3 linked regions of the Notamacropus eugenii genome follow. The protein of the gene in region 2 purifies or fractionates together with the protein of the main gene of each other region. This does not show direct contact. Links are inferred from orthologs where the notes say so. Each region holds a gene or a part of one and is shown on either strand. Other genes may lie near its edges. The genes, in order: EHMT1, CBX1 and ZNF644.

The links.
Region 1: the proteins of CBX1 (region 2) and EHMT1 purify together in Homo sapiens (affinity purification with mass spectrometry; 3 studies listed by BioGRID and IntAct, with this or other methods). This does not show direct contact. The link is inferred for Notamacropus eugenii from reciprocal best matches to the Homo sapiens genes CBX1 and EHMT1.
Region 3: the proteins of CBX1 (region 2) and ZNF644 purify together in Homo sapiens (affinity purification with mass spectrometry; 3 studies listed by BioGRID and IntAct, with this or other methods). This does not show direct contact. The link is inferred for Notamacropus eugenii from reciprocal best matches to the Homo sapiens genes CBX1 and ZNF644.

The regions. Positions count from the first base shown.
Region 1 is NC_092872.1:494,739,205-494,742,949, forward strand, and holds the start of EHMT1 (histone-lysine N-methyltransferase EHMT1), read left to right. Parts: upstream 1-750; 5' UTR 751-787; coding exon of another isoform or gene 788-808; exon of another isoform or gene 809-812; intron 813-1,157; exon of another isoform or gene 1,158-1,725; intron 1,726-1,742; exon of another isoform or gene 1,743-3,745. UniProt on the Homo sapiens protein: Histone methyltransferase that specifically mono- and dimethylates 'Lys-9' of histone H3 (H3K9me1 and H3K9me2, respectively) in euchromatin.
Region 2 is NC_092873.1:353,057,190-353,060,934, forward strand, and holds the start of CBX1 (chromobox protein homolog 1), read left to right. Parts: upstream 1-845; 5' UTR 846-988; intron 989-1,069; 5' UTR 1,070-1,133; intron 1,134-1,506; exon of another isoform or gene 1,507-1,830; intron 1,831-3,068; exon of another isoform or gene 3,069-3,187; intron 3,188-3,745. UniProt on the Homo sapiens protein: Component of heterochromatin. Recognizes and binds histone H3 tails methylated at 'Lys-9', leading to epigenetic repression. Interaction with lamin B receptor (LBR) can contribute to the association of the heterochromatin with the inner nuclear membrane.
Region 3 is NC_092873.1:502,641,203-502,644,947, reverse strand, and holds the start of ZNF644 (zinc finger protein 644), read left to right. Parts: upstream 1-1,035; 5' UTR 1,036-1,238; coding exon 1,239-1,387; intron 1,388-3,745.

The sequences.
Region 1 (3,745 bases), on a different chromosome or scaffold from region 2:
AGCGACTTCTCCAAGACTGGGGGAAGGAGGGAAGCACGAGGTGGTGTTGGTGGGGGAACAGCCCTGGGCTGGAGTCCAGGCGTGAGTCCACCCTTATTCCCGGGCTTCAAGGCCTCAGTTTTCCCATCAGTACAATGGGGATGACCATCTTTCCCTGACTAGCTAGCTGAGAGCATGCGCGTGGGGTGGTTTTGTGATCATGGACCTCCTCTTCCTGTAGCTTCGGCTAAGGCCTCTCCAGAAGGTTAGTTGCACGGCTTGGGGGCCGAGCAGAGCTAAGTATGTAGGCTCAGGATGCGTCACGACGCGCTCCATGCCTACCCTCTCGTTCTCTGCCGTGAAAATAGTTTCATGGGGGACTCGGTAAACAAGCATTTATTAACTTTTCACTCGCAAGCTTGGGCGCTCTCACTGCTCGGAGCTGGAAGAGAGCGTTGTAATCTCAACTCCAGTCCGAGCCTCCCAGGTTCCTTCTACCCCCTGTGACGTACTTGGTTCTGGCGTGCGGCGAAGTCACGTGGCACTCCAGCTGTGCGGAAGAACAAGTTTGGGGGCCGTCATAACAGCCGCGTCGACTGCGCATGCGCACTCGGCTTGCTGTCGTAGGTCGGCTCCCTTCATTTCCTCAGTCCTAGTGGGGACGAACGGTTGCGGAGAGGGGCGGGTCTCGGTGTGCGTGTGGCAGCGTGAGGGCGGGGCATATGGATCAGAGGCGGGGCGCCGTGGGGGCGGGGCCCGTGTGCGCGAGGCGGGACGGGGGCGGGGCCACAGTCGGGGCACCCGGGCCATGGCCGCCGCGGATTCTGAGGTGGGTGAGTGAGGGAGGGAGGGAGGGAGGAAAGGACGGGCGGAGGGACCACGGGCGGGCGGGGGCCGCGGGGCCGTTGGCGGCTAAGCGAGGCGGGGGCGGGGCGCGGCGCGGCCTCTTCTGGCTTAGGCCTGGCCCGGGGACCGCCGCCAACGGCCCTGCTGCTCCTCCCCCGGGCCTGGCCGGATCGGCCCGCGCCGGGCCGCTTTGTGTGTGTGTGTGTGTGTGCGTGCGAGTGTGCGTGCGTGTGTGTGTTCGCGCGTGCCCGCAGGGCTGGGATGGGGGGGGCGGGGAACGACGACGAGGACGGTCGCTGCTCCCGCGCCGCCACTCATCCGGTCGCTCGCCCGAGGAGTTAAGGGCCCGGCTGGGCGCGCGGGCGGGCACCCCTCCCCCGCTCGTCGCCAGGCCGGCCCTCGTTGCCCGCGAGGCAGGCTGGGGAAGATGCCCTGGCTTGGCTTCCCCCTCCCCCATACTTTTTCCTCTAGACCAAGGGTCTTCCCTCCCCTCCCATTCTTTTTTCTCCCCTTCCCAGCCTTCCCTCCCCCAATCCCATCCCATCCCATCCCATCCCATCCCATCCCATCCCATCCCATCCCATCTCATCTCATCTCATCTCTTTCCATCCCATCCTATCTAGGCCTGTTAAACACGAGCCCTGATGTACTACCAGAAAGGAAAGTTAAAAGTAAATCATAGGACAGAGGCTGACATCTGTGTGTCTGAAAGAGTTCTTGGGCTGCGGGATGTGGGAAGCAGTTTCAAGGTTTAGGCCTAGCATAGAAAGGATTGAGAGCCTTCAAGACAAAAGAGTAGAGGGGCAGGCAGTGGAGAGGAAGATGGGGTCTGTTGATGGGAACTGTTAGGCCCATTCCCGAATGTACTCAAGACAAGCTTGAAACTGAAGGAAAACTTAGGTGAGAGAATGGAGATTTACCTCTTTTTCCCTTGAGTTGTATTTCCTTGTGTTGTTCTTTCATTTATGTACTGGTACTTTGCAGATCACCTTTAATGAATAGGTGGGTATAAATCTAATAACACTTCATGGCTACAATACTTTTGCTTTTTGAGGACTAAGGAAAGCAAGATTGTACCATTCCTCAACTTTTACCTAGAGATTAAACTGATCACGATCTAGTCAGAAGACAAACTTGGCTTTCTCTTTTGCTTGTTGTCACAGATAGGGAAGTGATTTTTTTTTTGACAGGTAGAGCTAGCAAAATTAAGGTTTGTATTAAGGCCTTATCACTAGGGCATAGAATATTGATGGCTTGTTGAGTATACCTCCCCCCCTTTTAAAAATTATTAGTGTTCATTTTAGGGAGAAAGTTAGGATTTTAGGCAGCCTCACAAATCGCCTACCATCTATATTCAGGGATCTTTTTTGAAACTTGACCTTAAAGGTCAATTTGTTAGGTGTTGATAGCCTGGTGTATGGAATTAACTACGTAAGTCCCTCTGCAAGTGCTCACATAGTCTTATTTAAATGATTTTAATCTTTGTATGGGACCCGGTGAATCTCAGTTGCCTAAAGGGGCACTTAGAGAATGCTTCCCAGTTTAGGCTTCTGGAGGCATCATGTTATAGAAAGAGCCCTAGATTTGGAGTCAGAAGACCACAATTTGAATCCTGATTTCTTGAATCTTATAGCGTTTAGTCAGTCAACCTTTCTGTACCTCAATGTCATTATCTGTAAAATTGGCATAATACTTGCAGTATCTATCTTAGGGGAAGCATTTTGGGGACTATACTTAATATATTCTATAACATTATATAATTATGAATCCATTGACATTCCCATCTTTCCTCTGCAGCCATACTACCAAATAATTATCTTGTGCCATAGGTTACCAAATCCTACTATGTTGGCTTATTAGAAATAACAATACTTTTTTCTTTTTTGGTCTGGACTTGTGATTTCATCTCTGGGGAGCTATCTAGTGTGGAAACTGCCTGTACTAATGAAGATCAACAATGTTTTTGAAATTTATAGTTTGATAGAATTACCTGGTGGATGCTGAGGCTTACACATGGTCAGCTATCCAGTAGGTGTCAAAGGCTGGACTTTAGCCCAAGTCTTCCAGACTCCAAGGCCCACCCTTTTTATCTGTTAGGGTAATCAGATTGTTTCTCCAGAGTGAGTCTCCTCTGTCTCTTTTTGTTTGTCTCTCTAGCATGCATGTATGTATATGTGTATGTATGTATGCATGTATACATATGTATGTGTATATATGGTGATCAATTTAGTTCTCCAGTACATTCTTAATCATATCATATAATAATGGCTTATTAAATGCTTAGCATAGTAAGACTAGTACATTGCTTTGCACTTAGTAGATGCTTAATATTTTTGACTGTAGAATAAAGGAATGAGGTGTATCTAAAACAAAATTGAAAATTACCTTTGTTAGACATTGCAAGGTCAGTACTGTTGTACTGGCTTTTTGAAAAATGATTGTTTGTTTATTCTGTAAACTTTTCTTCTGTTTTAAGTTATAGGCTCTGTCAGAAGTTGATTTGACTGGCTTTGAGAACCTGGACAAATCACTTACCCTCTTAGTACCTCAGCCCCAGCTAACTCTTTAAGACTATAAATTGTAAAACAGTTTCTTCTTGGCTTTGATAGATGCAATTTCCTCAAAGGGAGTTCCCTACATTTATTAAGTGGCAGGTCTTAACCAAAAAACAAAACAAAAACAAAAAATAAAGAGATAGGAAGAGGAGAAACTCTGTTATTGTCAATATGTTACTTATTTGGGATAGAGTTCACAGAATATTGCTTCTAGAATCATAGATTCTTAGAGTGGGAGGGGGTCTTTTAGATAGTCATGTAGTTCAGTGTCTACTAGGATGTAGTAAGCCCATCAAGTGCCCTTCCACCACTGCTCTCCCAAGTCTATGATAAGTTGTTATCTAAGTTCTTTTTTGATATATCCA
Region 2 (3,745 bases):
CCTATTTTAATTCAAACCTACTACACATTACCACCTGGCACTCCTTTTGAATTCTACACCCACCAAACTGGACTTCTTTGTTCTTCATCAGGGACATTTTATCTTCGCCGGGTTCTCCCCCCCTTTTCCCAGGAATGAATTCCCTTTTCAACTCTGAGACTCAAAGAATTTCTAGTTTTATTCAAAGGAAACTGAAACTCAGTTGCAGCTCAACCCTCACCTCCTATTTGAGGCTATTCCCGATCCCATCCAGCGCTAGTACCTTGAGCCCTAAATATGGTTACTTAATTACCTTTTTCGTTACTTTGTATACATTTTTGACAACGAGGAAGCGGTGTTGGTAAGTGGGGAGCGAGTTGGTCTCAGTCAGTTTAAATTCTACTTCAGAACCCCGAGGTAAGTTGCTTAATCTCCCAACATTCCAGGCAAACCGTTTAGATTTATATCTTAATAAATATGCCTCTTACTTTACAATAGTATAATATGTCTTAATTTGTAATAAGTACTGTAATTATTTATTACAGTAATCTTAATATAGAAATTACAGAGAACTGCCAAGACGTTTGAATTCACAAGACTGGTTCAAAGGCATATGTGAATGTGTTTCTACGTCTAGATCGTCGCGAGCAAAGGGACAGTTGCACTTGTCTCTCGGTATCCCTAGCAACCTGCCCGGTCTCTAGACGCTTAATAAATGCTTGTTGCTAGATGAGTTGATTACACGTGCCACAATCCAATCAGACAGTACTAGTCCCTGGAGCCGCTACCCAGAGCTTGGAGCTTCGTTGGGTGACGTCACCACGTTCCTTCCCTCGCAGTACCCTGGGGCTTGTAGTCTGGGAGGGACTTCAAGTTCCACACTGCCCCGCGTTGGGTCGCGGCGCCTGCGCGTTGCGCGCGGCGGGCAGAGCTGAGTACGGGGCTCTTTTGTTCCGCGGAGCTGGGACGATTGGCTGGGCCCGGGGGAGCTTCGCTTAGCCTATCTTAGGTGAGGAGGGGCACCAGGCTCTAGCCGCGGCCGCCGCTCTTTCTGGCTTAGACAGCTCATCCTCCTTCTCGCTGTCCCCAGCCTCCTGCGACGCGCTAGCGGCGCGACACCGATTCCCCCCGGGTTGAGTCGACGCTGCTCTGAGGTAAGGAGGGAGGGGTGTGTGTGTTTGTGTGTCTGAGAGTGTGTATATGAGAGGATGTGTCTGGTGACACTGGGAAACCGAGGAGGGGGGCCCGGGGGGTGGGGAGGGCTCTCGGCCGATGGGAGTAGGGCCGTTAGGAACCCGGCGCGCGGGAGGCAACCCCCACCCCCTCCCCCACTACTCCCCCAGTCCTCGGTCCCTTCCCGCGCGCAGACCCCGGGAGGGGGCGGGGCTCGTGGAGCGCGCGCGGCGCAGGAATCCCGAGTCGGAAACGGCCGGTGTGGTGGGTTGGACCCCGCGCGTGCTGGGGGCGCTTCGCTGGTCCTAGTTTCTGGGGTCCTTGGTTAAGGGGCCCCCTGGCGAGAAGGAATGTGGCCCCGGGGCTGTGGGGGAGGAGGGGCGGAGCTTTAGCTACTTTAGCCGGTATTGTTATTACCCGCTACTCTGTAAAGGAAAGGGGGTGGGGCATAGGTGGCATTGAACGCCCTTCTTCTGCCCCGGTGGGGAGGAACTTGATTTTTTGTAGCTGATGCATGTTGATGCTTTTAAGAAAAAGACTTGAGGTTTGAATAACGTCCAGGAATTGAGGTCCCATCTCCAACTGTAGATTATCTCCAGCTGATGCAGTCTGTAGTGTGTACATGGTTTGCAGGTTGTCCACTACACGTGAACTCCAGGAGAGCTTTTCTTGTGCCTGGTAAGGGGAAGGCGCTTCATAATTGCTTGTTGACTCGACAGATAAGTGGTTGTGTATTCGTGTTGTCCCCCACTGTGAGCTCCTTGATGGTAGAGATTTACCCTTCCTCTTTCTTTTGTGTCCCCGGAGCGTATAGCGCAGTGCCTGGCTTCACTTAATAAATTCTTATGGACGAAGCGTTAAGGCAAAAAGTTTGAGAACCCGAAGTTCTCTTGCTTGATGTACTTCATGCTAGCAACTAGCAACGAAATTTTGAAATAAAATTCCACCCATGTTACATTAGAAGAATCATTTCCAAGGCAAATGCAATAGGAAAGTGAAATGAACTTTTCATTACGACGTTGCCCCTTTCCCCCATTCCAAGATATTTTCCACAGAAGATTGTAGCGGAGATCTTGTGCTCAAGTTTTTCGTCAGACTTCAGGGTGAGGAAGACTTGGAGTTGTTGAATCCCACCTTTAGATGTTAGCTGATTGATCCTGGGCAAGTCCCACAACCTTTTTTCAGTCTCAGTTTCCTGGTCTATACAGTTGTATTCGATGGCCTCTAAAGTCTCTTCCAGCCCTAAATCTGTGATCTTTGGGAAGTCCCTTCTGCTTTCCCTGGATCCCTGGATGGTGGCCTTGCTTTCCATCGATCTTTGGTGGGAAAGCCTAAGTATTGGTTTACCTGATAGTCCAAAACATGAATGGAGCCATACCCTGGGGCTTTGAGGCCTTGAATTGTATTCCTCTGTTCAGCCTTTTGTCTGACAAATTTGGGCCCTGAATGGCTGCTGGTGACGTTAAGGTTTTGTAACTACCTTCTTTGGAAAGAATTGCCCTGGTAGATAAAGTGTGTAGAAGAGGATGCCTTTTCTTTATGCCCTTTTTGTAAATTTAGGTGGTTCTTGGGAGCCAAACCTGGGAAATCTTTGAGAACCACTTTACACCTCTTTTAACCCTACCCTGAAGACTAAATTCTAGTTCTGTTAGGTTTGTATGCACATATTAGCAGGAGGCATCCTGTCTGTGCCTTTGCTGGGGCTGTTTCCTATGCCTGGAATGCAGTTTCTCCTCACCTGAGCCTCTTCGAATTCCTAGCTTCCTTCCAAGCTCAGCTCAGCATCACCTATTACAAGAGGCCTTTCCTACTTTTTTTGCCTTTGCTAACCTGTAGTATGTTCTGCCCTCCTATATCTTAAGTATATTTTGCATTTATTTATATGTGTATATGTTGTTTCTCCTGTGGGATGTAAGCTTCGTGACTGCAGGGGGCCTAACAAATGCATGTTGATGGATGAAGCTACCTAAGGGCAATGATTTCTGCCCTTTATTTTCACTGTTGCCTCCAAATGAAGAGTCATCTCTGCAGTTAGGTGAGTGTCTGAAAAGTCTGAAAGTGAGTAGAAGCATGTGATAGATACTGTGATCCTCCCTAGAAGCCTTCCAGACATTTATATGGAAGTTAAAGGAAGCCTCTGGTTTTGTTTTTTTCCTATAATGACATTTTTGTTCCCAATAGCTTATATATTCCGAATTGTTTTTCTTTAAAAGTGAGTAGAGGATATGGAGGATAGTGCTATAGCCTATGCCAGGTTCTTGATAAGAAAAGATGTGCCTACTCTTTTCTTCCTCTGTCTTTGTACCTGTGGTTAGATACCTGAATTTTTCTAACCCCTTCTGGACAAACGATATTGAAATATACCAGAAAGGAATTTTCTAAATGAGAGAACTTAAGTACACCTTTAAAAGAGGATTGCTATATAATGTCATTTTCAGAACAGTAGGTGCAGTTTCGTTCACTAGTTAAAAGCATTTGTTAACACTTACTACATTCTAGGCATTGTGCCAGGTGTTGGGGGTACAAAGAAAAACAAAAAAGTCCCTGACCTATCCTACCATACAGTCTTTGGAGATGAGGGCTCTAGTAGCTA
Region 3 (3,745 bases), about 150 Mb from region 2:
ACACAGCTAGTAAACGTCTGAGATTAAATTTGACTTCAGGTTTTCCGGCTCTATCCACTGCACTACCTAGCTGCCTTATAATGGATGAATTAAATATTAAAAATTTGAAAAATGTGGTTTACAGCATATACTGATCAGTCAGGGCCTTCTTCCAGATTCTCCTCAGTTTGCTCAGTTTATCTATTCTCTACGTGCCTGGTTATTTCTGTGTTGTCTCTAAGCTCCCTGCTGGCAGGCATAGTCTGGCTTTTCTTGGCACTTCCGGCGGCGTCTAGGTCCCGCTTTTCTTGGCACTTCCGGTGGCGTCTAGGTCCCGCTTTTCTTGGCACTTCCGGTGGCGTCTAGGTCCCACTTTTCTTGGCACTTCTGGCGGGTCTAGCAGGTTTTCCTGGCCTAACCTCGGCGTGTGCGGCAGTGCCCTGGGGTGCAAAGAGCCGTCCATGAACGTGGCCTCCTGGGAGGGGAGGCTCATTAATGAACGCGGATGGAAGGAGGGTTTCCTTCAGAGATGCTCCCGACGCCGCGTCCTCACGTTCCTCATTGGTAGGCTCCGGAGCCGCTAGGTAACTCTAAGCTTTTTCTTTTTAGTGCCCCGTTTTGGCCGCGTCCCAGGGTGGCGGCGGGCCGATAAAGCTTGGGCTCCCTGCGGGGCTTGGCCTTTGGGCCTCGAGCCGGCTCGTGGTCGGCCGGTGCCACAGTGTTTGGGTGGCCCTCACCGGGGCGGCCGCCTAGCGGAGGGTGGCCGAGGCCGCCCAAGGCAGCCGGGTGTGGGATGGGGGAGGCCGAGGCGGGCAGCTCCTCCAGCACGAGGCGGCGGCGGAGGAGCTTGGGGTAGGCTGAGGGGACGGCCGGCCAGGCTGAGGCGGGAAAGCTGCGCGCCTGCGCACTGGCGTCCCGGGCCGGCGGCGAAGATCGCTTTGCTCGCGCAGGGAGGTCCCCCTCCCCAGCTGAGGCGGCGCGGTGCGTACAGGGCGGCGTGTGACGCGGGGACGCTGCGCGCTCGCAACGTCGCCTCGGTTTGACGCACACGGCACCAAACTGTGAGTTTGGGGGGGGGGGATTGGTCGGACACGCCGGCCCTCCAGCGGGTTTCGGGCCCTAGGGCTGAGGCGGCGGCGGGCCTGAGGGCGGCGGCAGGACTCGGGCGGGGCCGTCCCCCCGGAGCCGGGGCCCCGACCGCGGCGCCCCAGGCTGGGTCCCTTCCATCCCAAAGGACGCGTTTTGCCGCACAGGCTAAGATGGCGGCGGCGGCGGCCGAGGAGGCGGAGCTGGTGCGGCACAAGGAGCCCGGGGCCGGGGTTCGGGGCCGGGGTCGCGGCGGCGGCGGCAGCGGAGGAGGCGGAGGTCGCGGGCGCGGGCGCGGGCGCGGGGGGCGGCGGAGCCTGAGGTGAGCCGGGGGCCGCGGCGGCGGCGGGGCGGGGTCGGGCGGGGCGGGCCGCGGTAGCGCTGGGGGCTCGGCGGCGGCCGCTGCGAGCGAACGAGCGAACGGACCGACCTACACAAAGGGACCGGGCCGGGCCGGGCCGGACCGGGGAGGGGGGTGTTCTGTCACATGAAGCGGCGCAGCCAGTGAGCGGCGCGGAAGAGAGGGAAGGGGCCGAGGCCCGGCGGGCGCCATTGCCGAGCGCCGAGTAACGGGGCGGCGGCGGCCCCCGCCCGTGCCCGCTCCCCCTTGCCCTGCCGAGCCGGGGGGAGGGGGTCTCCTCGGGCCGGTGTCCGGCCTCTGGGCCCCGGAGCTCTGAGAGAGCCGGCGGGGCCCTTCGCCGCAGCCTCGGGTCGGCAGCCCCCGAGCGGAGCCGGAGCGCCGCGGGCTCTCGGGGCGCCGCCGGACGCGGATTCCCGTAACTTTGGTGGGAAAGTTTGCTCCGCGCCCCGGGGGAGGGTTTGGGAAACTTTTCCTGAAGGGGACGCCCCTTGGTGCGGGGTCCCTGAGATGGGGGGAGGCTTTCCGGGGAGGACGCGGGGACCGGCCCTCGGGACCCGAGAGATGGGTAGCGAGGAGGCGGCTCTTGCCCCGGAGTAGTTGGGGAGACCCCGGGTGAGGGACGGAGCTCTCCGAAGCCGGCCCGCGTTTTGTGTCGGAGACTGGACGGAAAGGTTGTGGATCACCGGGCGCAGTCCGCCCCTGTCCCCTAGTTGTCCGAAGAGCTTTAAGGGTAGAGGGTTCAGCGGCGGTCATCCCTCACGTCATTTACCCCCTAGTCAGCCTGCGGGCGGAGAAGCCCCTGAGAGACGTGTGTGGTTACTGCACTTGGCAGAGAAAACTTCTGGTGACGAAGGAAGAAACAGAACAGCCGCTTCCTTCAGAGGTCCTTCAGCGGAATGCGCTAAAATTGCCCCCGTCTGTCGTTCCAGTCTGAGAAGTTTAGCTGCTTAATTCATCTCCCCCCCACCCCCGCTAGAAATTTTGTCGGGACTGCTGAGTAGGAGACCCTTTGGCACTCCGTCACCCAGAAGGAGTCAAAGAATTAACGGCTTTGAGGACTAGCCGTGTAGTCTCATCTCCCGAATTTTAAAGATGAGAAAACTGATTACCAAAGTGTTTACTGGTGGCCAAGCTGGCAGAACTAGTTAGTGGGAGAGAACGTCTCCCAGAGGTGTCATTGCTTCCTCACCGCTGAAGTGCACCAGCATTAAAATGTAATTGGGAAATGTTTAACAGTAGAGATATGCAGTACCACTTGGGTAATGTTAATTTGTGGTTTTCAGGGATCAGTTCTGTTTTGAGCCTAACACCACTCGATTCTAGAGTATTTGTGTCTTTTTGTCTTGCTTATCAATGCTCTATTGATTCCATGCCTCTGTGATTTAAAAATGAAATTTCCACCTGTAGTAAAACTATTTCTAGGGAGACAATTACAGGAAATGATAGTTGGCATGTAATACTCTTATACTGATGAAAATGTGACCTTACAGAAACATGAAACCTTTCAAGTTTGATTTTGTAGGATCACTTTTAAGAAGCTTTCAAAGCAGAAGCAAATTCACATGCTATTTTACATATAATAGACACTTGTAGGATGTTTCACATGTAATCCTGACTTCTCAGAATGTTTGACTGAACTGTCATATGTAAAATCCTTTTTGTTGATTATAGAGGTAGAGGAGCCACAGTGTAGAGGCATTCACACCTGATTTAGTAGAAGACCTGGACTCAGGTCACTGACATTGCAGTTTATACTTCCAAGCTCTAGATGGAGGTGCCCATATCTTCAGTTATTAGTTGCTTATGCATAAAATTTCCATTAAAGTTTTATTCTGAAGCTTCGTTGTTGTGTGAAGAGGAACTTGGGTTCCCATAAGGATTTGTCTTACAACCACTGCTTTGCTCTTAGAGGCTTAAGGTTTGCAAAGCTCCAAATTCCACAGAAGTATCCTGGAGGAGTATATGTTACCTGAGGAACAGTCTAAGTTTAAAGTTGCTAGTCACCAGGTTAGCTCCAGTGTTCCCTGTTACCTCTAGAAGCAAAAGCCCTTCATAATCTCACTCCAATCTACCCATCAGTCCTTATTCTTCTGTCTTTTTCTTCGACCTGTACAGTATGGTCTAGCCCAGGGGTGAGGAAGGGTGAAGGTGGCTCAAGTTTAGCCCTTTGACTGAATCCAAACTTCACTGAACAAATCTCCTTAATAAAAGGATTTGTTCTCTGTCCGAAGGGCAAACCCACATGTGGCCTAGAGGTACAGCTTCTGCATCCCGGTAGCCAAACTGGCTTACCACATTCCACCTCTGTGCCTTTGCACT